4 linked regions of the Drosophila melanogaster genome follow. Changing the gene in region 1 together with any one later gene gives a genetic interaction. Each region holds a gene or a part of one and is shown in the gene's direction. Other genes may lie near its edges.

The links.
Region 2: of ato (region 1) and dos, changing one suppresses a phenotype caused by changing the other (phenotypic suppression), as found in Drosophila melanogaster (one study listed by BioGRID).
Region 3: of ato (region 1) and lilli, changing one enhances a phenotype caused by changing the other (phenotypic enhancement), as found in Drosophila melanogaster (one study listed by BioGRID).
Region 4: of ato (region 1) and ase, changing one suppresses a phenotype caused by changing the other (phenotypic suppression), as found in Drosophila melanogaster (one study listed by BioGRID).

Annotation. Positions count from the first base shown.
Region 1 is NT_033777.3:8,275,499-8,281,540, forward strand, and holds ato (atonal), read left to right. Parts: upstream 1-2,553; 5' UTR 2,554-2,627; coding exon 2,628-3,566; 3' UTR 3,567-3,776; downstream 3,777-6,042. UniProt on the Drosophila melanogaster protein: Developmental protein involved in neurogenesis. Required for the formation of chordotonal organs and photoreceptors. Seems to bind to E boxes. Specifically required for the photoreceptor R8 selection.
Region 2 is NT_037436.4:2,587,864-2,598,021, forward strand, and holds dos (daughter of sevenless), read left to right. Parts: upstream 1-1,550; 5' UTR 1,551-1,623; coding exon 1,624-1,689; intron 1,690-2,338; exon of another isoform or gene 2,339-3,750; intron 3,751-4,298; coding exon 4,299-4,623; intron 4,624-4,689; coding exon 4,690-5,456; intron 5,457-5,524; coding exon 5,525-5,636; intron 5,637-5,697; coding exon 5,698-5,938; intron 5,939-6,001; coding exon 6,002-6,602; intron 6,603-6,658; coding exon 6,659-7,183; 3' UTR 7,184-7,727; downstream 7,728-10,158. Other genes in the region: RpL8 (ribosomal protein L8), read left to right, coding at 1-27, 221-853; CG16984 (uncharacterized protein), read left to right, coding at 8,007-8,112, 8,169-8,986; CG12182 (uncharacterized protein), read right to left, coding at 9,127-9,279, 9,331-10,158. UniProt on the Drosophila melanogaster protein: Essential component for signaling from various receptor tyrosine kinases such as Sevenless, TORSO and DER. Required for photoreceptor cell and wing development.
Region 3 is NT_033779.5:2,882,402-2,889,872, forward strand, and holds the start of lilli (lilliputian), read left to right. Parts: upstream 1-3,527; 5' UTR 3,528-4,177; intron 4,178-5,882; exon of another isoform or gene 5,883-6,197; intron 6,198-7,272; 5' UTR 7,273-7,471. Other genes in the region: NTPase, read right to left, coding at 1-432, 2,592-2,621. UniProt on the Drosophila melanogaster protein: Has a role in transcriptional regulation. Acts in parallel with the Ras/MAPK and the PI3K/PKB pathways in the control of cell identity and cellular growth.
Region 4 is NC_004354.4:457,606-464,928, forward strand, and holds ase (asense), read left to right. Parts: upstream 1-3,141; 5' UTR 3,142-3,350; coding exon 3,351-4,811; 3' UTR 4,812-5,571; downstream 5,572-7,323. UniProt on the Drosophila melanogaster protein: Involved in the determination of the neuronal precursors of optic lobes in the central nervous system.

The DNA of each region.
Region 1 (6,042 bases):
TTTCCATTTTTCCACCGCCCCAATCGGTGGTCAATATTTGCAGAGCCAAGTCAAACAACGGTCTCACATAACAAGGGGAGCTCTTTCCTCCTCCTCGACTTGGTCCTTCTGCATTTGCATATTTAATTTGCCTTTAATGAATTTTCAATTTGACAATTGCCGAAATGCCACACAAGAGGCCAGGATTCGATTTGGGGCCAGGCCACCCACGTGCACGGAACTGGGGGAATGGGAACTACCCCAGTTGCGGAGATGGCATGCCATGCCGATTGCATGTCCATGTCCATGTCCGTGTCCAGACTCCTGCTCCTTTCGCTTTTCGCTCTCGTCTGCAAAATGGGACAGAGTGTTAAATGCTAATAAAATAAGTAACATACAAATTTTTCAATTTCAGCTAAAAAAAATAACTGGGCCGAAGACGTTTAAGTCGAGCAGGAGCTGGTGGACTGGGATTCGGTCTGGATATATATAAATATGGATCTGGACAACACTTTCACGGCCCAGAGCGACTTGCTAATGGGAGTCGTTGACGTGAGCCTACTTTCCTCTTGTTGGCATCTCTTGCGCCTACACGTTCCTCATGCCGAAGAGAGTCCTGGAAAGAGTATACTGAATTAGGCCGGCTAGTCAGCAATTTGGTTACTTAACAAAATGTAGAAAATAACTAAATTAATTTAGTTACTGCGTCAATAGTTTAATGGCCTAAGTAACTAATACATGATTTGAGAGTTTAGTAAAAAACCCAATATACAATTATAACATTCACCATATTATATTACACTCAAGAATATACAGGTTGGTTTTTCTAGGATAATATAAGAATATGATTTGGATATGACTACAAGAGTGTTTCATGTTTCACCCAAGCAGATTCATACCCATTCAATTGGCTTTGTCATGCGCTTTCTGGAAGCTGCTCCACATCAGTTGCATTCCCATCGATGGCCAAGTTGCATTTATGCATATTGACATGAAAGAAGTGGCCCGTTACCAGCGTATTGATGCCAATGAGCTGGAGCTGAGGTATTGGAGGTACTGGTACTCATAAGGTATGTGGGTCCGATGTGAGGGATCAGCCACTCGATAACTGACAGGCACGCAAGGCGCCCGATGCCGACCATTGGCGAAAAAAGAACTCGACTTGACTTGGAATGACCCTTTTTGCCCCCTCGACTGGCAGCACGTGCATATTGCGATGCGGCAATGAAAATGTAAATTTCCCAATCGATATGCAGCGGATGCCTTGACATCGGCTAATGCCGATAAGCGAAAAACTTTACAGCGGAGATGCAATCCGAGGGATACGATCTGCACAGGTACATATTGCAGGTGTAACTACTGTCTGTTGCGGCAAGTGGCTCGTAAATTGCATGGAAGGACATTCACGAGGGACGTTCAGGACATTCGAGGTCTCTCAGGGGTGGACAAAAGGTCAAACATGCCTGTGTGCGTCCAATAAATTGGTGGTGCCGCTCTTGGTGCGGTTTGTTGTGTGACATTTTTATCTAATTGACAGCGTTTTTATTGCCCGGCAAAAAGATCAGATCCTTTGGGGCGTGCTACTAGTTGTGCGACTGGGTGGCCGCGGAACTTCAAAGATGCCCGAACACTCCCCCGCAAGTGGTTGATGTAGAATTCGTTGCATTATGATTTCCAGCGAATCATTAAGGATTAAGGGGCGTAGCGAAGGGATCTAAGGACCACCGTGGACGCTTCGTTTTGCTGTGTCATCCTGGGATCTACAACTAAATTCCCTGCTCACGATCGAACACACGGCCGTATTAATTGCAAGGCGCTAAAATGTTAACCCAGCTCTTAGTTACTGCCTGCCACGCTTATTAGGCACGACGAGGGCTAAGGTGAAGGTCAGTCCTGGCACTCGGTCAAGCGTGTCCTTGAAGGGCCGGCGCTATCATCTACCTTCTTCATGGTACCGGCAACAAGCGTATCAATTGGAAAATTTGCCAAGTTGTAATAAACAAGATTTTTCATTGCGATATTCCGCCCCCGACTTTGGGTAAGCATGTCGAATGACCCGGCGGCGGTGGATTTGTAAGGATTTCCCTAGCCGTGATCAGGTAGATCGAACCCACTTGCAACCGATGCAGATTAGATAAACTCATAAGACCCGCTCTGCCATTTGGTGCTGACAAATCGCCAAGGGATTTTTGCAAATTTCGCTTCGCTTTGCGGTCGACTTTAATCCCGTTTAGGGATTCAAATCGATTGTTTGTCCAAGTTCTGTTTACATTTCCGCCCATATTCCTGTTCCGGTTGTGCCGGCCATCCTATAATCATCTTGTTAGCGGCTTTAGATGCCCAGATAGTCGGTTTTCTAGCGCCATTTTAAGCTCGCAACGAACTGAGGTATAACCGGGCTCTCTGAGACCGCTGCAACTCACCACCAACTGCCATTGGTCGTGCCACTCGGGCGGCACGTGCTGCCTTCTGTGGCAACTCGTTTACCTGCCCCCCTACCTGCCTTTCAGGCCCTTCTGACCGTCGTGGTGGATTTGTGAGTATAAATAGGGCCGAAAGGACGAGAGACCAGTCAGAAACCCGCCAGCACTCGCAGCGTTCGTATCGTTTCATCCAGCAACATAACACCACCATACAGCAGCAGCAACATGTCGTCCAGTGAGATCTATCGCTACTACTACAAGACCTCCGAGGACTTGCAGGGCTTCAAGACAGCCGCCGCCGAGCCGTACTTCAATCCCATGGCAGCCTACAATCCCGGCGTGACCCACTACCAGTTCAATGGCAACACCCTGGCCAGCAGCAGCAACTACTTGTCGGCCAATGGCTTCATCAGCTTCGAGCAGGCCAGTTCCGATGGCTGGATCTCCTCCTCGCCGGCTAGCCACCGATCTGAGAGTCCCGAGTATGTGGATCTCAATACCATGTACAATGGAGGCTGCAACAACATGGCCCAGAACCAACAATACGGAATGATTATGGAGCAGTCTGTTGTTTCCACAGCGCCTGCAATTCCAGTGGCCTCTCCTCCGGCAGTGGAGGTCATGGGCTCCTCCAACGTGGGCACTTGCAAAACGATTCCAGCCTCAGCAGGTCCGAAACCGAAGCGTAGCTATACCAAGAAGAACCAGCCAAGCACCACCGCCACCTCCACACCGACTGCAGCTGCGGAGTCATCTGCCTCAGTGAATCTCTACACGGAGGAGTTCCAGAACTTTGACTTTGACAACTCCGCCTTGTTCGATGACAGCGTCGAGGATGACGAGGACCTCATGCTCTTCAGTGGCGGTGAGGACTTCGATGGCAATGATGGATCCTTTGACTTGGCCGATGGTGAGAACCAAGATGCCGCTGCCGGAGGCTCTGGAAAGAAGAGGCGTGGCAAGCAGATCACACCCGTCGTGAAGAGGAAGCGTCGCCTGGCCGCCAATGCACGTGAGCGTCGTCGGATGCAGAACCTCAACCAGGCCTTCGATCGTCTCCGCCAGTACCTTCCCTGTCTGGGAAACGATCGCCAGCTGTCCAAACACGAGACCCTCCAAATGGCCCAGACCTACATATCCGCTCTCGGGGATCTGCTGCGCTGAATTCCCGGATCCCGATCCCAGTCCCAAGTACTATTCTCAGTTATTGTTGGAGCTTGCCAAATGTTGTAGCTACTTTGTATATATTGCCTGGAGCCCAGTAGTGAATTACCGCTTAAGTATTATGCTGTTTATTGTTTAGTTAATTAGCCTAAATGGAAGACAATGATTAAGACTAAGGAAGACAAAATAAAAGCACCATTAATAATTTAAAACATATGTTCGTTTTTTGTTAACGGGGACTTTCTAACAGTTTTAGTAGCTATGCAACAATTCCTAGATGCAAAATGATAAATACAAAAATTCCAAGCCATCCAAATCCTTTCATCTCTGAACAATTCTGTTTCCCCAATCCTCGATATCCACACTTATCGGCGGGGCATCAATTCTCACACAGTGAATTGGACTTTATTATATGGGGGAAGGTGATCGATTTGGCGCTTCGCGATCAATTTGTAGACAGTTCGACAAAATTAGGGCCCCTCTTAATCGGGTTGGCCAAAACAAATACGCAGCGGACGATAATTACACGGCACGGCGCGCCGGACTGTAGCTGCCAAATTAAGTTAAGTGTTGGGCTGATCTGCTTTCAGCAGTCGCAGGTCGCATGCAATGTCCGTATGTCCGCTTGTCCGTATGTCCATTTGTCCGTCGCTGTCCCTGGAACCTCTGCAACTTCATATCCCAGTGGAAGTCCCAGTCGAGCCCCGAAAATCAAGCGCCACTCACAAATCGTTTAATACGAAGTTCGATCCCCGATCGTTGTTGGCGGATAAACTCAGCGGCTTAAGACTTTAAGCCGAAACTGTGCACTCAGCAAAACAAGAAGGTGTTGAAGAAGTTTTGTTCAATAAGTTAATGTAATAAATAATATTATTTAAGGTAATATAATAAAATGTATATAGTACAAGATAGGATCAAAGCAAACCTTTATAGTTAGTTCTACACAGAATTCATTCCCTTTAAAATATAATTAAATATATTATTTAGTGATATTAGATGGATGATATTTTTGGATCTGTTGAATAAATAAATCCTATGACGATTTCTGGCAGTGCAACATATCATTCAGCTTAAAACGGAGCAGAGATCCCCGGCCCAGTCAGTCAGTCATTCAGTCAGTCAGTCAATCATTCGTAAGATTCGAAGCCAATTTGTTGATAGCGACAGCAACGCCCGAGTGCCGGCGATTCGATCGACTCCCGCATGGGAATTGGAGCGCTCGGTGGCGGCTAGCGAGGGTGGGGGCGTGGCAGCGACCGGATTTCGTGGGCTGTTACTGTTTGTTTTGCAAAATCATTTTCGGGCGTCGCCGCAAAAGCTGCACGGATTTCGGGGCACATAATCAAAAGGAAATTCACATAATTAGTTAAGCGGCAGCGCGGCATCGACAGGGCTTCGTTAAATTGTTAATGACTTAATTTAGTGATCGCGAGGTGCGGGCGTCTCCCCAGGCGTCTTTTCCAGCGGCTGAGGCAATTATATTTGTATAGGCGCGAATGCGAGGCATAAAGGCGATATCCTGCCGATATCCCTGGAGTGTCGCTCTTGTTAGCGACAATTTACGGCTTTGAACGCTTCCGCACAAAGCGCTGCCGTCAATTTGTCAATTACACAAATTGTTCGGCTCCGTTCGGTTCCCCCATCTCAAAAGCCACGCACAACAAAAGGGTGCGATCCGTCGTGATGCGGGAAGAGAGGCCTTCCTGCCAATATCGGTCGTTATTCCCGAGCAGCTACTCCAGCTACCACCTGCATGCAGCTGCACAGCACAGCAGAGATTCGGAGCCTCGAATTCAGATCCAGCTTCCAAAATGCAACTGCCTGCCAATACAATTAGTTAGAATTCATGAATGGCAACTCGACCCCAGTCGAGTTCTGGCATTCTGACTTACTGGCTCACTGCGTTTCGGCATTCGGCTTTCAGCTTTCGGCCTTTGGCTTTTGGCAGTGCCGCCGACACAGCAGCAACATCACGCCGGAAAACAGGAGGAGCAGTAGTGGCAGAAGTGGCAGAAGTGGCAGAAGTGGCAGAAGCGGCAGCCACTTGCATGTCTTTGTCAATTTATAGACAGCTTGCCTGAGCATTATTAACACGTATTATTACGGGTATGCATTCGATGTCCGTTGTGGGGCTGCATATTTTGTGGGTTTTTCTGGCCGTTCGAACGGGGGGAAACGAATGCCCCCGAAATTTGTCATGTCGATAATTGGCGAGCTTTATTTTGAGGTTTTTGAGGTTGCTTATATTTTTTGTGTCCGACGCTTTGGTTAGTTAGTGCATCTGTATCTGTAAATGTATGTACATCTGCGTTAAGTAACTTAATGAGCTTTAACACCATCAATTTGTCACTTCTTGTTAGTGTCGCCATGGGGCAGTATCTAAATGGGTTATTGTACCGATCGACTTGCATCTTGTTAAGTGGTAAGGTTTTAAGGCTCGTTATGTGCAGACTATATTGGTCTTAGCTGAAGTTCA
Region 2 (10,158 bases), on another chromosome or scaffold:
TCCGGCTACATCCGCGGAGTTGTCAAGGTGAGTAACGTGCTCCTAGGATCACCAACTACACCTATCCGTTTAATGTGGATGAGATCACTTGCATTTGGCCATGCCACATTCAAGAGACGTGCTTGAGCACCTGTGCCAGCTTACTAGAAGTTACTTAGCTCACTTGGCTTAACTGCTTTTGAAGTGTAACTAAGCGAATCGTACTTCTTCCATGTTTCAGGACATCATCCACGATCCCGGCCGTGGCGCTCCTCTGGCCGTCGTCCACTTCCGCGACCCCTACCGCTACAAGATCCGCAAGGAGCTGTTCATCGCCCCCGAGGGCATGCACACCGGCCAGTTCGTGTACTGCGGCCGCAAGGCCACCCTTCAGATCGGCAACGTGATGCCCCTCAGCCAGATGCCCGAGGGTACCATCATCTGCAACCTGGAGGAGAAGACCGGTGATCGCGGCCGTTTGGCCCGCACCTCTGGCAACTACGCCACCGTGATTGCCCACAACCAGGACACCAAGAAGACGCGTGTCAAGCTGCCATCCGGCGCCAAGAAGGTCGTGCCCTCGGCCAACCGCGCCATGGTTGGCATCGTCGCCGGCGGCGGTCGTATCGACAAGCCCATCCTGAAGGCCGGTCGTGCCTACCACAAGTACAAGGTGAAGCGCAACAGCTGGCCTAAGGTGCGTGGTGTGGCCATGAACCCCGTGGAGCATCCTCACGGTGGTGGTAACCATCAGCACATTGGTAAGGCCTCCACCGTCAAGCGAGGCACATCCGCCGGTCGCAAGGTCGGTCTCATCGCTGCCCGTCGTACCGGTAGGATCCGTGGTGGCAAGGGCGACAGCAAGGACAAGTAAGCTCTGGCTGCAGCAGGATTCCGGCGTGGCGCAGGTTCCGCCTGAGATCTGGGTAGTGGTCGTGCTCTGCTGTGCGGCGTCGTGGAAGAAATTGCTATTCTACATGGATAATCTGTATGTTCTAGGCATACGCTTGACACGGCAGAATAAAACGTATTTGTAAAACTATACTTCGTTTGCATTTAAAGTTTTTAAGATTTTAGTTATTAGCTTTTGTTTGGATTTATTATGCTGATTTATTAGGTAAATACTTATGTTATCTGCAAATTCTTGTTTTCAAACAAAGAAATACTTGTGTTTTTTGAAATATGTATACATATTTTATATGGGCTATTTGTGGACTTATTTTTAAAATACTAGATTGAACACGTTTCATATGGCAACCAAAAAAGGTTTTGTTTTGTTTTTTACAAGATTGTAAATACTTAATTTTTACAACTCAAAATTATAAATAGTGCCAGTGTTGGGTAATGTCAACTACGGTCACACTAATCTAAAACAATTTGAAGCAAACGGTATATTACACTAAGTTCAAGTTTTGAAGCAATGGGGCTTACACCAAACAAATATATAAATAATAATAACTTTCCGCCGAATATAAGCGTTCGCATCTTTTATTTCGATATATCTTAGACTTAGCTTAAGCCTATCGAATACTTATTCGATATTGCCTCGGAAGATCTATCGCAAGCGTGAGGCCCACCTCTAGTTGGTGTGCGCGGAGTGGAGTGAAATAAATCGAAGTAAATTGCGTCGAGCGCTGCAAAATAATGGATCGCACTTTCTACGAGGGCTGGCTAATTAAGTCGCCGCCCACCAAGCGCATTTGGCGAGCAGTAAGTTTCCGAAAATGGAAAAACGTAGGCTTTCGAAAACCTGAGCGTGTGTGCGTGTGTGCAAGTGCTAAGGAATTTTCCTGGAAACCCCAGCTCAAAACGAAATCAAAATGAAAATTCTGATCCAATCAAATCAGAAATGTCCACTGATTAGTGAAATGTGCAAAGAAAAGAGAGTCGCAATTGGCTAACGGTAAACTTGAAGCCGGAAGAGAAATACCGCAATCTTTGTCCATCGATTGACTCACGAAAATGATAAAAAAAAACGATGGATAATGGAAGTGGCATTTTTTTACAATTACGCTAAGCCTGTATTGGTGCCTGCCTCAGTGTGTGTGGGTTTGTTTGGCGTTGTTGTTTGTGGTATGATTTAATTCATTATTAAGCCGAGGGATTGCAATTCCAGTATTCCAGTTGATTGGAATGCAAACAAGTTGAAAACCGCAGCAGAAATTGCAAAATGTGAATGAATTTACGATGGCTTCCTCTGCGTTTTTCCCTCTCTCTCTCTCTGTCTCTCTCCCCACCACCCTCTCCGTCACCCAGTTTCTTTCTGTTTATGTTTGCTTTTGGCGTGGGAACGTGTTTTTTTCTTTTGCCCTGGTCTAAATTTACGCTTAATTAATTTTTCGTTTAATGTTTACTTTAGGGAGCCGTTCGTGTATTAAATTTCCGCCAACTGTTGCGTTTAATCAAATTTACTTGCCCCGTATTTCGTGTGTGCATGTTTTTTATGCGCATATGTGCTTGTTTTTGCTTTTTTATGTGCACGGACGATAAGCCGGATCAAGCACAAAACAATGTGCAACAACAGCAACATAAACTACCGACGATGACCAAAAAAACAATGACGCACTTGTCTTTCCAGCTCCTTGTTGTTGTTGATTTTGCCTATGCTAGAGATGCGCTGTTGTAGTGTCAGCATAATAATTTTTATTTACAGTCCATCATAATGTATGACTTATTAGATTTTTGGATTAATTATTTTTTAAACATTTAGGGGATGAATAGTTGAAAAGTATGTTTGCTTATATTATTAAATATAAATAGAATGATTTGCTCAGACAAATAAATTTTACTGGATTTTAAACTAGTAAAGCTAAAATATAGAAGTTCTCCCTCAGGAGTTCGTGACACGACACTCTGTAGTGTGCCCATCTCTAGAGCGTTCATTTGAAACCACTTATAATGGATACGACAGTTCCAAGAACACCCAAACCGTTGATCAAAAGGTCTGCAGCACAGAATTTTCAGTTACAGCAAACCCACTTTATGGTTTCACTGTACTCAATTTGTTTGCTTATGTTGAGGCGTGCAATAGCGTCCAAAATGGTAGTATTCAATCACACTATTTTGAAAACTGCTTAAGATTATACAATATAAATTAAATAACTAACCTCTTGACATCAAACTTCGTACAAAATATGGAATATTTTGTTGTAAAGGTTTACAGCAGCTATCTAATTTTAAAAACAACCCTTTCCGGCGCGTTAAAAGTAAACAAATTTAGAAACATTTTAAAAATAGAACCTTTGCCCGCACATTTTCGTTTGCGTTTCTAATATCTTGAGCGCCATTGTATAAACAAACTCTAATGATGCCTCGAGAAAATGAGCTGCGTATTTCCAGCGCCTCGGGGTGCCAATTTCTGGCCTGTGTGCGGCATTATGTTTATTGTTTATAATTCAATTAAGCTTGATATTATACAGTCCGAAAAAAACCATCCATTATCAGCTGGAGTTTTACGTTTTCAGCGGGTTCCCGAACCTCTCAGCTGTTAATTTCTTAACCGCTTAACGGTAACGTGGGCGGGGGTGTTATTTCTGTGTGTGTGTCTGCTGATTACCCAAGAAAATGCCAATGCAAAATATGATTCGCGGAAAAGCAGCGCCGCTGCAGTCTCTGTTGACTCGGGCTTCATCACCCGCTTACTCACCAGCAGTGATAGTGTACTCAGTCGTTGAGCTGATCAGCCGTACCCTACCCTCATATCAACAACCGGAGTCCATCGCTCAGTAAGGGTATCTTAATCCAGAACGGAGACATCGGTACACTCGCGTAGTACGTTTATATATAGCTAAACTACTGCAAGATATAGTATAATTAGAGATAGACTTAAAGAAAGCCTTGGCGTGTCGCAAATTCTAGAAAATTTGCTAATGATTCACTATATTCTAATCATAAATACCGCATTATCAGATCTCTAGGAAAATTACATTTTTGATGCGTAAATGATATTGTAAGCATCAAGATTGTTCATTTGCTCTTCGCCCTGATGAGTAACTACCTGATGAAGTTAGTCATCACTATTCAGGCATCTTAGTACAATTTGTAACAGTGTAATCTTGTTTAATATTCTCAGACTCTTTGCAAAAGAAGCAATATCTACAAATCTCATTTTGGGGGAATTTTTGACTTTGTTGAATTGTTTTGCTACAAAAAAACAAAGACAGTTTATCGTGTGATATTTGCAATTCCACGACCCATTTAACATATGTCGCTATGAAGGAATCTTGTGTGTGTAATGGCATAGGAGAAATCACTATTGCTTTTCCAACTGTACGCCTCGTTGCAACTCTTAACGCCTTGTTTCCAAATTATCTTTGTAGCGCTGGAGGCGTCGCTACTTCACGCTGAAGCAGGGCGAGATACCGGAGCAGTTCTGCCTCGAATACTACACCGACCACAACTGCCGCAAGCTGAAGGGCGTTATCGATTTGGATCAGTGCGAGCAGGTGGACTGTGGCCTGCGGCTGGAGAATCGCAAGCAGAAGTTTCAGTACATGTTCGATATCAAGACGCCCAAGCGCACCTACTACCTGGCTGCTGAGACGGAGGCGGATATGCGCGACTGGGTGAACTGCATCTGCCAGGTGTGTCACCTACACGACACAAAGCAATCGAATGAGTTGCCATTAGGAGCTGTGGGTGCAGGTGAGTGTCCGCAAGCCCATGTCCAAAGAACCCCTTCTTAAGTTTTTCTTTTCTTGCAACACCCAGACGAAAACCGCACCCAACACACGAGCTCCAGTGGCGGTCTAAGCAACTCCACTCAAAATACGACCACCACATCGTTGCACTCGTCGGCCGGAACCACAGCGCCTCAGGCTTCGGTCCCAAATGCTGGAGGATCTGCCCAGCTGCGACGACCGGCGGTCATTGAAGAGCAACCGATGCCCTCGAATGCCGGCAACAATAACTCAGACTCGGTGTATGTCAACACGGAGTACAGCAATCGCGAGACGATGCTCTGCGATGCCAATTTCGATCAGCAGGAACTGCTCTCGGCTGCCCAGCAGCAACCGCCTCCATCGCCGGCCACGGCTCTTTATCTAAACCACAGTGCTTTGATCCAAGCTCAGGCGGCAGCTGCAGCCGCCGAGCAACTGCAGCAGCAGCAGCAACAAGCTGCTCGCTTGGCGGTCAGTGCCAACGGAGTAGTGCGCAAATTGCCGGAGCATCTGGTGCTCACGCAGCAGACCCTGGCGGAGGCAGCTGCCCAGCAACACAGCAGCGTACAGGCTTCACCCGCTTTGAGCACCGCATCCGGACCGTACATACCCATCAGCGAGTGCTTCTCGGGCAGCCCGAGATTCCTGCCCGGCGTTCCACTGCCCGGCGCAGATTTGGCCATACCAAACAACCCCACCACGCCGTTGAACAACTTGGATCCCAAGTTCTACGATACGCCGCGTAGTCATAATAACATAGGTCTAAATCTGACCAACGATCAATCCTACTCACCGAAGATAACCAATTTGAGTCTGGTAAGTTGATAGCGATAACGATGCGCGTCAAGCATTATTTATAATTAATTATCATGTTGGCCTTTCAGCAACAATTGGCCAATAACAATGCTAGTAAACAACGCTCCGACTCCGATTCGGAAAGCGTTTTCACCGATGACGATGAGTGGGCTCATCCTTTGCCACTGCGCGAGAATGTGGGTAAGTACTCAAAAGGCAAATATCAAAGCGAATTCTCGTAGTAAACAAAGATTTCTCACAGATCGCAGTACCCGACCTTCGGATAGTTCCATTGAAAACGAATCATTCGTGCTAACGTACTCGCAGCGATTCTCTAAAATGCCCGAGGAAGGAGGAGCGATCGTGCCACCAGCTGAAAAGAGTTCCAAGCTAGCAGGAGCAGCATCTCTGCCAGAGGCTGGTGACCAGGGAACGCTGGATAAGCTGGCCAAGGTGCTGAAGAACAAAAATAATCTCATATTGGACTTTAAGGAGAATGAAAAGTGAGTTAACACACACTCAATTCAATTTTAAACGGCCTACTAAATCATCCTGCGCATTGACAGAATTCCTCGCGATCTGCCGCAGCTGTCGGATACGGAAAATACTTCGCCGGCCATTGTGGCCCGCCGCAACGCGCACTCCGCTTTCATCGAGGAAAGCTATGACATTCCAAGGTCCCACCAGCAGCCTTACTACAACGTCAACCAGCTGCTGGGCGAGCGACCAGTCACCAGCCCGCACAATTCCAATCCCATTGCAGCATCCACACCGAATCTCATGGCGGCCGATCTGGGTGCAGTGGCCGCAATTTCAGCGGCAGCGAATCCCGGCCTGATGGGTGAGGCACAGGCAGTCGCATCATCGCCCACCAGTGCGCGCACATTGCCTCGACACTGCTACACCAATGCAGCTCCCACAAAGATGGAGGGCAATGTTTTTCGATACGACTTCATGGAGCAGGCGGACTGCCCGCCGGTTAACCGGAAACTTAAGCCAAAGGTGGCGGGTGGATTGCCAGTTGTAGAGGACAAACCGCCGGAGGAGTTTCCTGCAAAGCCCCCGGTGGGCGTAGATCAGTTAACCAATAAACTGGGTGCAGCCCAACTGCAGCAGCCCATTGGACCGCCCAGTGTGGACAGGAAGTGCAAACCGAATGCCTATAAGGTGAGTGACAAACGTTGTGCACACCCATATTCAATTTACTAATGACTTCTTTTTAGTTGGGCAATTCGGCTACCATGTCGCCGGCAACGCGACGTTCCTCCGGTGCCCCTCTCTCAATGGTGCTGCCGCATGAAACGGATGTACACTCCCCGGCGGCAGCCAACGCCTTCTTTCACGAGACCCGCACCCTGCCTCGCCAACAGCATCGGCATCATCCGAACAGTCCCGGCAGCATGTCGGTACAACATCAGCGCACCGCCTCCGCAGCGGCTGCCATGATGAGCTTGACGGCAGCAGCTGCTCCCAAGCAGCAAGCGGCGGCGCAGACTGAGCACAAGCTGCAGTACTTTGATCTGGATGTGACCAACAAACCGCCATTGCTAAATCGATCCAGCATGAGTGTGGGGAATCTGTACTCACAAGGCGGAAATGGAGCTAGTGGAATGCGATTCGCAGGCGTCGAAGCTGGCGGAGCTCGAGCGCCAGTGCCTAGCAGCGTGGTCTATAGATCCGTGGACTTTGTCAAGACGGAGGCATTTAAGAGGATTCGAGAGGAGCGCGAGAGCAGCGGCAACAAGTGAAACTGCTGGTTCAGCTAAATGAAATCATATCTCCAGTACATCTACTTGTCAACGTGCAATAGCAAAGGAAGGACCATGTTGCTGATCCGAGATTTTCGTAGTGCCTATTGGTGGTCAGCTGAGGAGAGCTGACCCCATCCAAAAACAGTGCAAATTTCGAGTGGCTTTTACATTCGTTAACATCGTCAAATTCATTATTCATTAAACCACATATCTAGCTTGTAAGACGGCACCAGCATTTCTGTGTGCTGTTTTGAATCTGTAATCTGTAACCCGTATCTGAATCTATGTCGTATTCGTATTTAAATCGTGCTTCCAACACTTCCATGTTTATTGTTAAGCTTCGGAATCAAAATGTAACCATGACAAACGATCTTAGTGCTAATTTTACAATGCAAACAATTATTTTATATACGCAAGCGAAATATTTATATACACGAATTTTATATGGTAACAAATTATTTACAATTTAATAATGTAACTCGTGTGCGACACAAGCTGTAGCTTGATTTTGTGCTTTAAAAAATATATATACAATAATACCAATTTTGTGTGTTCTCCTAAAAGATCCAGAACAAATATCGAATTCCGATTGCTAGAAAATATCTGAATATTACAATATCACCAGGAAACGATGTTGCCTTCTGTTTATTCTGGAAATCCTATAGCAACCTTTGTTTCGAGTTAAATCAATCCAAGTCAACGCAGAGGTACTTGGCAACGCAGGAGTCTCCACCAAACAGACTGTTATTATTAAACGAATAGTCAGTAAACTAGCACGCTTTCGAGTTCCCTACCTTCATCCTTACATATTTGTATTACAATGTCCCTGGTTTATATCACCCATCACGATGAGAATATTCTCGAGTGCGAGCAGGACTTTGTGAAGGCCCAAGGACCTAAGGAATCAATTTTTGTCTACAAAAATCGTAGGGATTCGTACTAAAAATCGTTACCTCCCACCTAACTTTAAGCAATTTTGCAGCTGTTGTGGAGAGGGCAGCCAAGTATGCCAAGAGACTTCGCGAACGCTTTAACGAGGAGGACAAGAAGCTATCGATTATCCTCCAGAACGATGGAACCCGCGTCCTGACAGAGGCCAAGAAATCAGCCCACCGCACCATGGGCTGTGCTCACACTCCGATTGACCCACCGTGCGCCTATTTGCGCAAGAGCCAGGGCATCAAATGGCGGCGAGAGAACACCCACAAGTGTCCCAAGATGCCGCCAATGCCCCCACTACCACCACCGGGCAGTGGCGGCAAAAAGCCGGCAATGGTACCTAACTTCATCAAACGCAACAAGATATGTGCCGGACAAACGGTTCCCTGTCCCCCGCCACCTCGTTATGTAGACACTCCCGTGGGAGCTCGTCACGATCTACTCAATTCCGGATTGGTACCGCAGTTTATCTGCCGCAAGGATTTCGGCAAGGTGCCTGTTTACCTCAAGAAAACCAAGAGGATGTTGGCCGACATGAATGCGGTGTGTGCCAAGGAACAGGCACGTTTGCTGGAGCTGTGCCGCGGTATCAAGGGTTTCACCAGGGCATCCGTCCAATCAAGTGGTCCGCCGCCAATGCCGGGTATGCGGGTGATGGAGCAGGCCGAGCGAAATGAGATCCTCGAGGGACTGCGACTGAGCCTGACCGAGATGACCAAGCAGTATCAGTCGATGTCGCTCCTTATCGACAGCATCGCCAAGCGGCAGCGCAAAAGCAAGCTGGAGTCCGATCTTCGCCAGGTGGAGCAGGACATTCTGCTAATCGAGACCACTCCCATTATCTATGTTTCCGAGTACTAACAATGACACACACACCTTTTCTGACCATGTGTGTCGGCATCTGGAAGCCGAGTGAGGTGTCTCCATGGATTCACTTGCTTTGCTCTTAGAGGCGGACACACAAAACACTTCGTAATTAAGATTGAGAATAAATTTAACGTTTATGCATTAAACATTTCCGTGGCAAAGCTTCCATGGCAAACGGGACATGTCAGATGTCTCCCCGACTCGTAGAGTTCTTGCAGATTGTCCAGCTCGAATAGGATTTGGCGGTTGCAGAGGCTGCAGTAGCGTCGCTCCAAGCTGAGGGAGATCTGTACGGATACTGTAGTCTTGTCTTAAAATGAATTCTAGTGAATTCTTACCTCCACAAAGGACACACTGCATCGATGAAGTTGCTTCTGGGGATTAGATATCACAGGTATACCTAGCATCTCGTGCAAGTGCTGAATATGGTTGCCCATTTGTTCAACGAATGTCCTTGCTGTGGATCCTAGGGCATGGTTTTCCGTGAAGTCGTCATTGAGTTTATTTATCAGTCTGTGGGCCTCCTCGAACATACATTTTATCGCCTGCTCCTGGAATGGTGATCTCTTACTTAATGACCCAATAAACTGGAGCCTCAGTCTTATGTGTGTGATATTCAGCATCGCAAGGAGCAGCTGCAGTTCATCCCGGGACTTTTGGATGTGAACTGTCAGCTGGAGGTGGCTCGATTGCAGGCGAATCACGTTTTGAAGAACATGAAATTTAATTTGCAGCTGCTGCAGCTGACCTTCAGTGGCGGTATCGGCAAATTCAATGGAATCTAATGGACAAAAGTCCATAAATTTTTGCCAATTCTCCTCGGCAAAAACGTGCAGACGTAGTCCAGCTAATAAATCGGTATAGTGATTCATGGGCTTATTGGATTCCAGATGCCTGACAAGCTGATCAAGTGGATCCTGATTCCCCACCTTGAGCACTTGCATAACCAACTGGTTCTTTTGAGATACAGTTTCATTTAGATATTCCTTGTTGCGGTAGAGTAACAGGGTCATTAAGTTCTTGTGCCTACTGGTGCACAGTCCCATCACCTGGAAATCCTGAAGGACACCCATGGCTATCGATTGCATCTGCAGGCTAAGCTGATTATTCTCGTGGATAATTTGTACGCAAGACAAACAGCTTCCAGCGGTTCCTGCAACGTAGCT
Region 3 (7,471 bases), on another chromosome or scaffold:
ACGGCTGCCCGTCGATCCGGCATCGATGATGGCCGCATACTGCACCTTGCTGTAGCCAAACTTGGAGGCCAAACGGGCCAGATACGGACTGGCGTTCTCGGAGACGAAGCCTGCATCGTTGTCAGTCGTTGGTTTATTGGCGATGGGTTTTTTAGTGATAACACGGCGAACGGGTGGCGCAAAATGGGGTTCCACGTGGGCGTAGGGCACGGTAACAGTGGGAAAATCAGAGGTTTTCGTTAGTACAACTTTGGGCACTTCGTCTTTTACATAATACAAATGGTACACACCAAAGACAAAGAGCAGGAGGATGACGGAGATGATCAGGCACAGGAAGGAGATCTTGAGGCCGCTGGGCCCGCGGTTTCCACCACTGCTGGCATTTGGTGATCCGCTACTTTTCCGCCGCGGTGGCTTCTCATCCGTGGCCAGCTGAAAAGGCGAAAGACAAATTAGTTTTGTGACCGACTACTCAGTTATTTGATGGTGTTTTTCTTGGCCAAGTTCATCGGGTCTACCAGCTTATATTCGTATTTCATGGTTCGTTCCGTTGCCTCTGCTGGCTCCACATTTATGCATGGCCGGTTTCTTGGTCGGAACACATTTCAGTTGTTTGCTGCTCAAATATTAACACGCTGGCTGTTTGCTATCTCTGCGAATGTCAATGAATTTCATTTCTTCTCTTGTTTTCGGTCTATTTTACGGGCTTTATCGTTAACATGTGCCAGGGCTGCAGAGTCCGTGGCTCATCGATAACGTTAACCAGGGTTGGGCCACACTTTTGGCAACGGTAATTTAGGGCAGTTGGTAAACAGAAAACCGTTACTTCAAACAAAATAACCTTTTAAAGCGCATTACTTGGATATTTCCACGATTAGTATATATTATTGTTCTACCTAACTTTTCGCTAGTTTATATTAGTTCTTATAAGAACAAACGATAAACACTAAAAATAGTAAAAAATGCGTTTCTATGGCTTTAGCTATGGCTATTATTAATTTTCTTAAAATATAAAGTCATGCCAAATTACACATTTTCGCTGAGGAAGTCAGCGAAGCCAGTGGCCATTCGACTAGAATCTTATCGCGTAGCTTTCTGGGCGATATGACAGTGATAAGACGCAATCAGTTTTCGGGGGCGATTGGCGCGTCTGGGCACCACTGGCAACAATCATAAGTGGGGCAGGCCACGAAGCGATCTTTTAGCTTGATCAAATATTAAAGTTCCCAAACAAACCTGATGAAATTCCCATTGTTTAAACAAATGTTACGCTGTTGGTAAGCGACTGACGCAAAAAAAAAATAGTTAAAGCCAATGAAAAGTAGTCAAACAAAGCACAAATAGCGAGTATATATAATTAAGCAGTAATGGAGTTGACAGGTAGATGGTATATATATCTATATCTATACAATCAAGTACACCCATTAGTTTCGAATACACATACTACTTCCCAATAATTACACTGTTGGCATAAGTGAAACTCATTAAACATTCAGGGTGTGAACTTAACGCATATGTTTCCAGGCGCACGCTACTGCAATCAATAAATCTACTGATAAAAGGCGCCTTTTGTGCCGATCTAGTGACTAAGAAGCCTGCTCCCCATTTATAAAGGGGAATACTTTAATCGGTTCTATAGATAACTCATTTATTTCGAAGCCGAACACTATTTTGCATCAGCTGAAAAGTAAATCTTAAGTCTTAAAGAACCCTAATTGATAAATGTATCTTGAAATATATAAATATGACGCACAAAATGAGTTGAAAGATACAAACATTGAAAGCTGGTAGAAGTGTGCTATCTAGAAAATGCTGATAAGTTTAGACACAGATGTTGTGAAAACAACAAATATCGAGTTAGATACAAAAGTATCTAGTATATATTGTAGTACCGAGTACACGTAGGTACACGAGGGTTAAGGCCACGTTAGCAGCCAGGCACTATCTGCACTCACTTGCAACCGGTTCCGGTTTGCCCGCATCCTGTTCTCCACCCACTTGCGATGCAAATCAGTCGAAACTATGCGATCCAATCGCCCCCGAAATGGGACACTCTATGTGTACCTGTGATCTTTGGGTTCCGATGCGAGAAAGCGATTGCAAAAGTTGTCTAGCGAGATTCGGTCGAAACGGCTGCCAACTGAATCGTTGGACTTTTCTATGCTTTTTTTTTATCAGCCCCCCCTAATGACCTTGCAAATGAGAAAGTTCCTGCTGACTGGTCACCCTAATGCGAATACGAAAATATTTCAAAATAAACCGGCCGGCATTAAGATGTTGATAGAAAACCCACTAGTCATCTCTTTCGTAACTAAAATCAAAATTTGCATAATTGTTAACAAAAGCGTGCTTAGCGGCCATTGCGTATCTATATTTAAATGTCTTGTAAACATACATTTTCAGATACAAATTGGCACAATCGAATAGAATAGAACTTGAAACGATTATTCTGCGAGTCATTTGATGTTTTACTTCCGCGTCAAAAGAGCAGCAATTTGAGGAATTCGCATGTGTGCGTGTGTGTGTGAGAGAGCGCCATGAAATTGGCATTAAATTTGTGCTGTGGATTGCCCTTTTGACCTTTTCCTTACTTTTCTCTTTCGCACATCGGTGTTCGTCATTCTGTCGTCGTTACTTTTCACTTAAATTATGTAAATACGCGAGCGTTTGTTTATTTCGGATCGATTGCTGCCGATCGCCGAGCGGAACGCACTAATGTCGATCTAATCTAATGATGGCCGCGCCCGCCGAATGATAAACTCTGATCAGGAAGCCAACGCGCACGGAATGGCGTCTTGGAATCAACTAAAAACATTTATTTACCACCTGCTCATTTATATGCTGCAGCCCTATCAGCTGTTCGCTGCGGCGCCCACTATCAGCGCATACGGCCACACTGCGGGGGCGGCAGGGATGCCAAAAATTGATGTGGATAACATAGAAATATTTAAAATTGTGAAATTATTCGATTTTGATAAGTATACTTCTTAACGGAATTCTGATAACAGGTGCAGAAATCCAGTGCATAGTACTATAATTGACATATATTAGAGGATTCGTTGTGCCTTAATCCGCTATTTAAATCAATAAGGATTTATCATAGATTCATTCGTAGATTCTTATCATTATTTTGTACCGACAAATAAGATAATTGGATTCAATAGATATTCATTCAAGCTAAGTGTAGATTAGATTATATAGGTATATCATATTTCCCATTAAGATACTTGCCCATTCCAAAATTGGGTTTTCTGGATTAGACATTGAGATAAGAAACCAGTGTTGAAAACCAACACTGAAAACTGCTTATGAATTTTCAAAAACGCTCGGATAAACACATTGCTAGATAAAACTCAGATCGTTAGACAAACCGGTTCCAAAAATCATTCATTAAGTAAGAGAAAATCGAAATTTTTAGCAAATATGCGGTACCGACATTTTCCAGAACTGGACCTATCGTCGCACAGCTGATCGCCCGCCAATCAGCTGGGCGATAGTTGCCGTATCGATAGCCGACCCATCGATAACGATATGTGTATTTTCCTGCTCTCTCTGCACCAACACAAAACACGCAACTAAATTTCGGTTAAAAACCCCTACTAAAAACAATGCAATCGAAACGGAACCATATAAAGTGATTAAATGGCCAACGCGGCGGAGGCGAAATGCGAGCGCAGTGCATTTTCCGGATGAAATCGCGTTTTCGGGGAAACTTACACAAACATTTTTTTCGTAAGCGCTCTCATGTTGTCTCTTTCGCACAGCAGAATTACTAGTTGCTGTGTGTGTGCGTGCGTGCGTTTGTGTGTGCCGTATGCCGTGTGCCAGTGTGTGCGTGCGTGTGAGTGTGAGTGTGAGTGACTTTGACTGCAGTTCGCGTACGTTTTTTATTAATACACCACATAACAACAATCACAACAACAACAAACAGTAATGGAAACTAAACATATTTAATGCGAGGAGACCAGAAATCGTCTAAAACGGCAAGGCTTTATCACCATCGCCACCACCACCAACAGCACAGCAACAACAACAAATTACTACAGCATATATGCTAGTGTGCGTAAACGTATTTGTGTTAAATAATGTTTAAACTGGCATTTCTGATTTCGCACACAAAACAATATTAAGTTGTAGTCACCAGCAGAGAGGAGCAATTGAAGCAAACGAAAAAGAGGTAAGTGCAAAAAGCAGACAATTGTTATAAACAAAATGTGTCAAAAGTTCGTCATGTCGTCGCGCGCTCTCTCTCTCTTTTTTGCTCGTTCTCCCTCTCTCTCTCCGCTCTGTCCTTCTCTCTCCCGCCACGCCGAAAAGAAATTAATTTTGATATTTTTTCCCTGCTTTTTTGTTGCACTCTCTCGCTCTCGCAAACTTTTAATTTTAATTTGCTATGCGCAGCGAATTCGCGCGCAAAGGCAACAAAAAAAGAGGCAATGCAAAGGCAGCAGCAACAACAATACAGGCAAAGTAATAAACGTCAAAATGCCAGACGGACAATTCCTCTCTCATGCGCTCTTTCCGTCGCTGTGTGCGTGCGTGTGTGTGTGTGTGTTTGGGTTTGCTAGCTTTTTGTTTTTATCAATTATTTAGGTAGGTGTTTGCCTTAAAAAGAATAACTGAAACGCAGAAAAATACCAATACTTGTATACTCCAAGTAAAAAAGGGTGAAAGGACACTATCGGCTCAACAAGGAGAATGCAAATGCTATAAGTAGGAGGGGGAGAGAGAGTCACACGCACACACACCTCAAGCAATTCTGATAAGAACAATTGTTATTTGTTTGAAAGCCGACATTCCAATAGTCCACGTCCATTCGCCCAAACGTTGAAAATAATCGACAAACTTAAATACTATTGTGTTTGTTCGCGAACCCAGAGATGCTTTGCCAACTGATGAAATAAATATGGCCAATGCCGTCAGAATAAAGCGAAAATACCATTGTGGTTGGAATTCTCTTAATGTTAACATTGATTACTCCATTTTCTACTTTCTAAACAATGTATTGTATTCAATATTTATATTGATAATATCGAAATAGATAATTGCAGTATTTAATTGTTTTTGTACTTCGAATTAGAAATATGACTTTAATCACGTACGCAACAACCCATGCTTTCTTCCTAAGAAATGACAAAATAATAGTCTCCACGAAATAGGAGAACTCCATACTCAAAATATAAGCTTCAGAAGTTTATAGCCTAAAGCATTTTCCTAAACAAACAGCTTTATAGAAGAGTCTTCAATGAAAAAATAATTTACCTCTCGTGTTATTTATTGAACTCCTCTTTTAAAAGATAGGAGGTCAAGCATTTTAAATGTTTTGGTTAAATGATCTATATAATTGTACAATGTAATGTTTGCTATAACATCTCTAGTCTCACTTTCTTTTGCTTTTGTTATTAATATGAAATGTCGAAGTCATTAAAATTGATTCATGGAGTCAAATTACCAAACAATAGGCATTTACCAACGAGGATGCGAGAAGAAGAAATCGCCGAGGAGAGCATTTTTTCTTTTGTTATTTGCACGGTTTCGAATTCAAATTCCAATCAGCATTCTTCTTTTTCCTCTCTCTCAGGAAACTCATTCACGACTCAGTTTTCGTTACAATTTGATTAAATATTTAACTATAATTTGCATAATCAATTAACAACAAAGTTAAAGAGGATCTTTGGCACTGTTATGTCTACATTGCGTTAGCATTAATGTTAACTGCTGCTCGCACTAACAGTCGACAAAATGTTTGAGATAGCGGTTCGATGGCGTTTGACGGCTCTCTCAGTACGAGTTCGAGTTGCATGCGGTTGAAGGCGAGCGAATCGTCGAATAATAACGGTAAAGATGTAGTACTTTTTGGATTTCGCAGCCGGTCGAACACGAAAATCGGCGCCGTCGTCGCGCCGTGTAAAAAATGTGAGCGAAAATAGCAAAATAAATTTGTAAAAAATATAGAAAATACAAATCGCGCCGCCCAACCGAATATCTGCAATCGAATTTCAATGAAAGTGCTTGCCATCTGAAATATATTCATTTCAAAGAAGTGTGTGTGTGTGCAATCCATGTTTTTTCTGTGTGCAAAGTTCAAAGGCAAAAGCAAAAAGAAAAGGCAATAGCAAGTAGCTAAGGCAAAGGCAAAAGCAAAATCAAATCTAAATCTAAATCAATGTAATCTAAATCAAATGTTATTCGAAAACGTAAGTTCAAAGAAGTGAAGAGTGTAAATTCTTAAACGAAACGAAGCACATGTGCCACCGTCCCCCTTTCCAACCCATCCCTCCCATCGCTTTGTCTCGCTCGCTAGCTCGGAGGCAAAATTTCCAATGCATATCAAATGGAAATCAACAGATCAAATACAAATACAAAAACAACTACAGCAACTTTGTTTTTGCAAACATCGAGAACAACAACAAACAGCTCGAAAACGGAACAGAAGAGACTTCAAGCAGAAGAGAGCGCAAAAAAAGTGAAATGCGCATTTTTTATTGTCAATTTTTCAAACGGCACACTTGGACCTGGACCGTGTGATTTTCTTGCTCTCTCACTCGCTCTCGATCGCACTCACTCACTCTGTCGCTCTCTTTGCTTTGCTAACGGAACTGCCGTCTTCTTCTTCACCTTCTTATTCGTTGTTGTTGTTAGGCAAAAGCAACGCCAAAATGGAAAGGAAAATTTTTGTTGTTGTGGTGCGTTGCCCTTTGCTTGTGCGCTCTTCGAATAAAATCAACAACAACAACAACTAATGAATGAATGAATGTGGTAGCCGAAGTAGCAACTTCACAAACAGCAACGGAGCGGAGCAGATACATTGCGATAATTTTCTCGCTCATCTGGCGTCTTTATGACATTATATACGCTACATTTTGATTTTATATTTAACACCTGCTGTTCTTCCATCAACATTTGTATGTGCATATGAGATAAGTGCATCAGAATGTGTACGTGAGTGTGTGTGTGCTGCAATTGCGATCAACAGCTGTTGCAGGGAGAGCAAAAGAGAGGGAAAGAGAAGAGTGAATATCTGTGCGGATGTATGTGTGTGTCCTTGCTTTTGGTTTTCTTTTGTGGCATTTTGTTGTTGCAGCTGGAAGAATGTTTCCCGAAAAGGGGGTTTTCGGAAGATTCCAATCTGCCATCGAAACCAAATCTAAAATTAACTTTCTAGGTTATATAAATCAATTAACAAAACAACATGGCGAACCGATTGACACATTTTAAAAGTTATAGTTATAGTTCTCAATATAGTTTAAAGAATCACTTTCATATTTACAGCCAACGTTATCATTAAAATTCGCCTCAAATACAAGCAATAATACATAATATGAATAAAACCCGAGAGAAAAAAGTTCAACATCTAGTAAAGAAAGCAAACAAAGTTTAAAAACATTTGCATTAACGAAATCGTAGCCATTAGCTTTAACAAAGTCGCGTAAAAATTTTGAGCAGAACTTAGCAAGCCTATAAAGTACGC
Region 4 (7,323 bases), on another chromosome or scaffold:
CCCTTAAGCCTCGAGCGAAATATGTCCAGATTTGATCAGGATCGATACCGGATAAGATAGAAACAGCACCTAGCTCAAAAGAGAGGGGAGCAGTAGGGGAAGAGAGTAAGCGAGAAAGGAGATGAGAAAGGAAAAATGAGAAGCCAGGTGAGGGTGAGGATAATTTATTATTGCTCGGATACCCCCGAAAGCGCGCCAAAGGTCCCCGATACCCTAAAATCCAAAGACCATGCGTTTGGTCGAAGTGTCCCCGACACACAGAGAAAACTATACAACACGTACGCACTCTTCGACTGTTTAAAAATGGATTAATATAAGATGGTGTCCTTAGTTAATATAATAAATATATTACAAAAATATAAGTGTTTAAAAAATTTGAATAATGCTTGTAATATTAGATATCACTATAAAAGAAGAAAAGACGTGCCAATCCGGCTACAAAAAAAGATCCATTACAAGAACACGACGACGGAATGCGTATTTATTTCTTGCATGATTCACCACATTTATTTCAAGATGGTTTTTTTCTGTGTAGGATCTCAGGTAGAAGACACACAGACACTCACTCACATTTATGTAGAGCACAAGGCACGTGCGCGATCTGAAAACAATTTACCACTCCGATCAGCGTGAATTGTGAGTTTCACTTTAAAGTCGAATGCAGTTTTTAAATAGAAACTCGCTATTTCCCCATGTATTGTTTAAAAGAGGTATTAAAACAGCCCGCACCCGCTCATTTTTGCTGCAAGGACGGGACACAGTTTGCCGCTAAATAAATAGCAGAAATGATTCGGGAGTAACTCTTTTCCTTAATTTTTTGGCTAATTTTATTTAGTTTATAGTTAGAAAGAGTTACATATCTGTACACCGGTCACTTGTAACTCGTTCACGATCCGATGGGGGGAATATGTAATAATTAGAAGGCATCGTCACAAACATTTCCTTAAACAATGTCCCAAAAATGGTGTTCACCCGTAGAGCGAGTCCTTTTGTGTAGTTCTCGGCTGGGGTCCTTTCACTTTTCCCCCAGTGCTTGACTCCAAAGTTATTTCAAGGACTTCCACGGAAAGACTTCCGTTCCATCAAGTTTTCAACACTCATAACTCGAAAGACGAAATAATAATATGAAAAAACAAGAAGCGGTAAAACAATTTATGAACGAACAACTGTGCACAGATGCTAAATGATGAAGCATCCTAAAGGATCCACTTGAGTCAACGACGAGTACACACAGAATATGGGCCCAGGACATATTCACCCGGCGCCTTTCTCCGGTTACAAAATGGAAAAAGAAGAGGGAACTTAAATTTTGGAAAATCAAAGCGACTTGCATGCGTTGGCAGATTGATTTACGATTTTGGAGGGTCAAGCCAAATAGAACGACTTCAGGTTTCAGTAAATCATGGAGGATCCAGTATGTTTCCACGCTAGCGTCAATTCCGTTTACTCATCTGTTTCATTACCATTTGGCGTTTCTCTCGTCGAAAGATATTTTCCCATTGAAATCAATGCGTTTTTAAAATGCAAATAAACCAGAAACCAGAAACCATTCATAAATTGTATTTGCCTAGATTGGAACATTTCGATCCGCCAAAGATAACAGCCAAAAAAATATATAAAAAAAAGAGTGACAGGACTACAACGCAGGTTCTTAATTTTACGAACGTGGGAGTAAATTCGAAAAGGTATGCCGCGTCTTGGGGCAAAACTTTTTTGAAACCGTTTACATGTAATATTTTTGGAATCGCTACTTTTATGTATGGTTAATTTAATTATGAACTATTTTCTTGCAGTGCACGAAAGGCGTGGCTGGGGCAAGGAACAGTTCCTTGAGATGAGTGCTGCGATGCGTCGTCAAAGTGGGACGCAACCGAGTCAAATCCTCTAGGACAACAAAGGACGCCGAGCAGTACTTCCCAGTACTCAAATACTCCTCAGTACGCACAAGCGTTGACTCCTTTTTCTTTGAGAGCTCGTCTGCATAATGAGGAATGAGGACGTGGCATCCTGGATCAAAAACCGGTAGTCGGTCGTCGCAAGTTTCTTCTCCCCGCCGGTTATCCTGCGCTCAAGTCCTTTTCCTTGAACCTTTTAAGTGAACTCAAGTTTATAAATTGTGCAGCAAGTACAACACACACACATATGTATACTCCTCTATTTACTCAGGTTTGTTGGAAACTACCTGAGAGGAAGGATCAAAAAAGTTTATTGTAGCACTCGAAAACTTGTTTGCACAGATAGACCTAAGCTCCAAAAAAAAGAATAGATTATAGAAATAAAGCACTGGTAAAATTATTTTCCCACCGGACTAATTGCCAGAAATTTTTTGCCAGACGTAGAAAAAACAAGAATGTAGAGAAGGATGGGTGATTTCTCACCCCTTAAAGGATTTAAATTGGCTCTCTGGCATCTTGTCAATTTCCAACATAAATTGTAGCCCTGTGAATTACCTAAGACATTACTTTCGCAGTATATACTTGCTGTTTATTAGCTTAACAATAGGAAAATGTTTTTGCCAATGCAAGTCCTGGTAAATATATGTATATATTATCCAGTACGAGTTTTTGAAAAGTTAACAATAGGTGATCCCGAGACATTTTTCGAATGAAGTAGAAACCAGTCCTTGGTTTTAGCTATAAGCTAAAAATAAAGATTCGATGCATTTCTGCGTTTTACATGACGAATATTGGAGGTCTAAGGTGATCTATTAGGATATTTTGCAAATTCCTAGGTGGTAGGGCATTCCTTGAAAACCAGGGCTGAAAAAGCTCCCCAGGGAATATACTTTTTATTATATGCATACGTATATGGTTATTATAATGTCCATATATTAATAGGGGCGGTATATAAGCATAATGTGTTTGCTGCCGATAAATAATGAGAGAGAGCGTGGCGAAATCCACCCTTGAACCAGGTGGACTTTTTGGCTCGAGTTGATCAGATGTTAGTTTTCCCAAAAGCCGTACTGTATATAATATATATATATGATAAAGGTGTATGTGTGAGCGATCGAGAAGGGACACCCAGTCTAGGGGATGAAAAGTCAGGCCCTTTACATAAGGGATACGCAGGACCTCAAATGCCTTCTGTTTTGTATGTGTGTGCTCTGTGTTGTGTATGTCAGTCAACGAAGTCACTTCCGTTGGGTTTGCGTTTTAGTTTGAGTTCGGAGTTTAGGGGCACGCGACACAGAGCGCCAGCAGCTGTCCTGATGCAAGGACACGGAAACCATATTACATCAGTCACCAGTTAACATTCACTCAAGAAGGACTAACTTGCTAAAAGTACACCCGCAATCGCCACCAGTTTTTCTCCCGCCCTCAAAAAGCCACGAATCAAAAAACTTAATTATGGCCGCCTTAAGCTTCAGCCCATCACCTCCTCCAAAAGAAAACCCCAAGGAAAACCCCAATCCAGGAATAAAAACCACGTTGAAACCTTTTGGAAAGATTACCGTTCACAATGTTTTAAGTGAGAGTGGCGCCAACGCCTTGCAACAGCATATAGCCAATCAGAACACCATTATTCGAAAGATCCGGGACTTTGGCATGCTGGGCGCTGTTCAAAGTGCCGCAGCCAGCACAACTAACACCACACCCATATCCAGTCAACGGAAGAGGCCCCTGGGAGAATCCCAAAAGCAGAACCGGCACAACCAGCAGAATCAACAGCTTAGTAAAACATCAGTGCCTGCTAAAAAATGCAAGACCAACAAGAAGTTGGCGGTTGAAAGGCCCCCAAAAGCAGGAACTATAAGCCACCCTCATAAAAGCCAAAGCGATCAGAGTTTTGGGACTCCTGGAAGAAAGGGTTTGCCTTTGCCACAAGCCGTTGCCCGTAGAAACGCTAGGGAAAGAAATCGCGTGAAGCAGGTTAACAATGGATTTGCTTTACTCCGGGAGAAGATCCCAGAAGAAGTATCTGAGGCTTTTGAGGCCCAGGGGGCGGGTAGAGGAGCAAGCAAGAAGCTATCCAAAGTGGAGACCCTCCGCATGGCCGTAGAGTACATAAGAAGTTTGGAAAAACTGCTGGGATTTGATTTTCCACCTCTCAACAGTCAGGGGAATAGTTCTGGTTCCGGCGATGATAGCTTTATGTTTATTAAGGACGAATTCGATTGTCTGGATGAACATTTCGACGACTCGCTGAGCAACTACGAAATGGATGAGCAACAGACTGTCCAACAAACTTTATCCGAGGATATGCTAAACCCTCCGCAAGCCAGTGATCTCCTGCCTAGTTTGACTACATTAAATGGGTTGCAATACATCAGAATACCAGGAACCAACACCTACCAACTGCTGACGACTGACTTATTGGGCGATTTGAGTCACGAGCAAAAACTTGAAGAAACAGCTGCTTCGGGCCAGTTATCGCGATCGCCCGTGCCACAAAAGGTGGTAAGAAGTCCCTGCTCTTCTCCAGTTTCACCTGTCGCCTCGACTGAATTGCTGTTACAGACACAGACGTGTGCCACACCGCTGCAACAGCAAGTAATCAAACAGGAATACGTCAGTACCAACATTAGCAGCAGCAGCAACGCACAGACTTCCCCGCAGCAGCAGCAGCAAGTTCAGAACCTGGGATCGTCGCCTATTTTACCCGCGTTCTACGACCAGGAGCCCGTGAGCTTCTACGACAACGTAGTCCTTCCCGGATTCAAGAAGGAATTCAGCGATATTTTGCAGCAAGATCAGCCCAACAATACAACCGCTGGCTGCCTTTCGGACGAGAGCATGATCGATGCCATTGACTGGTGGGAGGCACATGCACCTAAATCTAATGGTGCATGCACCAATCTGTCCGTTTAGCCGAATTTTTTCACATCACGCATCTCGGAAAAGCCGATTGCATTTTTTGGCATACTTTTTAAATGATTTTAAATCCTCACAGCATAAGTCTGTGGCAGGCCATTCTATCTAAAGTTTTTTTTAATCAAGCCATGACTGAGTCATTGTGTAAATATCAATTTAAGCCGAGAAAGGAGGATAACTTCGGCCAGCCGAAGCTTATATACCTTTGCTGTTAAAACCATGTATTTAATATGAAAGTTCGCACAATTTCGATGAAGTTTATCACAAATTTACGATTTCATCAAGATTTGTATATTCTCCAAATTCTATAAAATATATGTACATTTTTGATTCTTGCTATGGTACTTGTACGTATGATATTGTTGATCGATCCTGCCCGAGTCACCTTTTATATCACCAGACATGCCGATCATGAATATTTATTGATGTGGGGTCGGAAATGCCTCACTGCTACCTTCAGACATATTATAATATCCTCTGAAAGAGTGTGACAAAATGAATGTATGAACACTACATATTTAAAGTCATCTAGTGATATAAACCAAATGGAAATAACCTTGTAAGACCCAACCACAAAATAGTTATCCTGATAAACGGCTTAATGTTGAGCCGGACTAACAGAGTGTCTAGTATATAACAAAAATTAATGTATTTGTGTAACCATATTTTTTTTTTATAGATTTAATTGTAGGAACGTTAAAATGACAAGCAGATAATATATGCTTTTGAATAAATGCAAATAAATATGAACATTTCCAAAAACTTAATTTGTTTCTTGTGGTTTTATTTCTCAACGAAAATTAGGTATATTAAATGACAATTTATAATTTGTACCACATTTTAGAAAAAAAGGTGTTTTATATTTTAGAGAGTGTCTTATGGCACAGTATATCTCCGGTGCTTTATTGACTCGATATTCAAAATGGGGTTCCTTCTGTGACAGAATGACAGAATTCGGATTTTTTTCTAGCGGTTCTTTTTTAAACATGTGCCTTGATTCATAATGACACAAGTAATTAAAAACGCACCAAAATAAATATTAGGGAAATTGAGAGAAAGCGGTTTTAGGGTGAACTATTATTTAGGACCTAACCGGCAACCGCAAATCAAACGAATTGCTTTTAAAAATAGAGTCTAGTCTGTCTGTCCTCATAGAAGTCAAGAAGTGAAAAGCCAAAACAGCTTGAAATTCCAATAGCGGCTACAAACTTGAAGTTGTTTTAAAACCTTGTCATGCTCACCACACAGACCCTCATTAACATTTGGAAAATATTTTCAATGATATTTAAGGGAATGGTAATATATTTTTTTATACAAAGTTGCCAAGCCTTCACGCACGTCTTTTATTTTGCACGATATTTACTCACCCTCACTTTTACTTGGCGCTATACTCTCCTGCCAATTGTGCTCAGGACTTCATTGTCCTGTGCTTACGTGTTCTCATGTCTCTCTACCCGTCCCTTTTTTTGGGACATCTGCCCAAATAAAACAAAACGGAAGAAAAACCAAAAAAAAAAAAAAATAAGAAAGGGCCGGTCCAATGGATATGGATGATGCAAAACTACATAAGACAGGCATACTGTAAGGAAAATCAATTGAAATCGTTTTCCATTAAGAATAGATGGCCTGTGCCAAATGATATTCGCATCTGCAGGATCCGAAAACCAAAGAAATCTAAGTAGTACACTGAGGAAACAACACGATCTATTTTGAGGTCGAAATTACAAGGCGAGGCATTTTTTCCTCCATTACTATTTTTTTTTTTTCGCTGTGTATATGTATGTGTTGGCGCGCTCCTGAGCGCCTGAGATCGCCTGCAACCCCCTTTTTCAACAGTTTTCAGTTTTTCCATCCAGGTGCAAAGGTGTTTTCCTATCATTCTTTTTTTGGTCGTGTGGTGGGTGCGCCGTTCACCGTTAGCAGTGAAAATTGTTCACGCACCGTTATAATTATTAAATATTGGTAATGCGACACGCCCCTCAACCGTACACCTCCGAGTTTGGGTCGAATTTCGCATTTTTACTGTTTGAACTGGGAAATCATTGCCGTTATGTGCGTCTTTTTGTTGTTTGTGTTTTTGGTGAATGTTAAAGGCTTAGCACCGATAAGGAATATGAGCCCTATCGTATCCTTCGATCGGCAGATTTGCTTTCGTAGCTCTGGGTGCTGCAGTCGCTTTAAGTTGTGCCCCCATTATGCCATTTAGACCACGCCTCTATGAATGCATTATTACTGAATGCCGTCTGTTTTTAAGTTCACTTTAGCGTGTGCGCATGCTCTTGCCGCTGACTTGATTGGATTCACCCCTACTTCTCTGATCCACTGACTATCCAATTTCTGGGCACATTGCACTGCAGTTATCCCGGGAACCAGATGCTGCCTTTGACCCGCCGAATCCGAGTTGGCTCGATGGATCTCGTAATTGAGATAGGTGACACGAAAAAAAAAATAATTTCTTCGAATTTTAAATCTTTAATAATTTTTGGAAAACCATGTCATCTAGCAATCA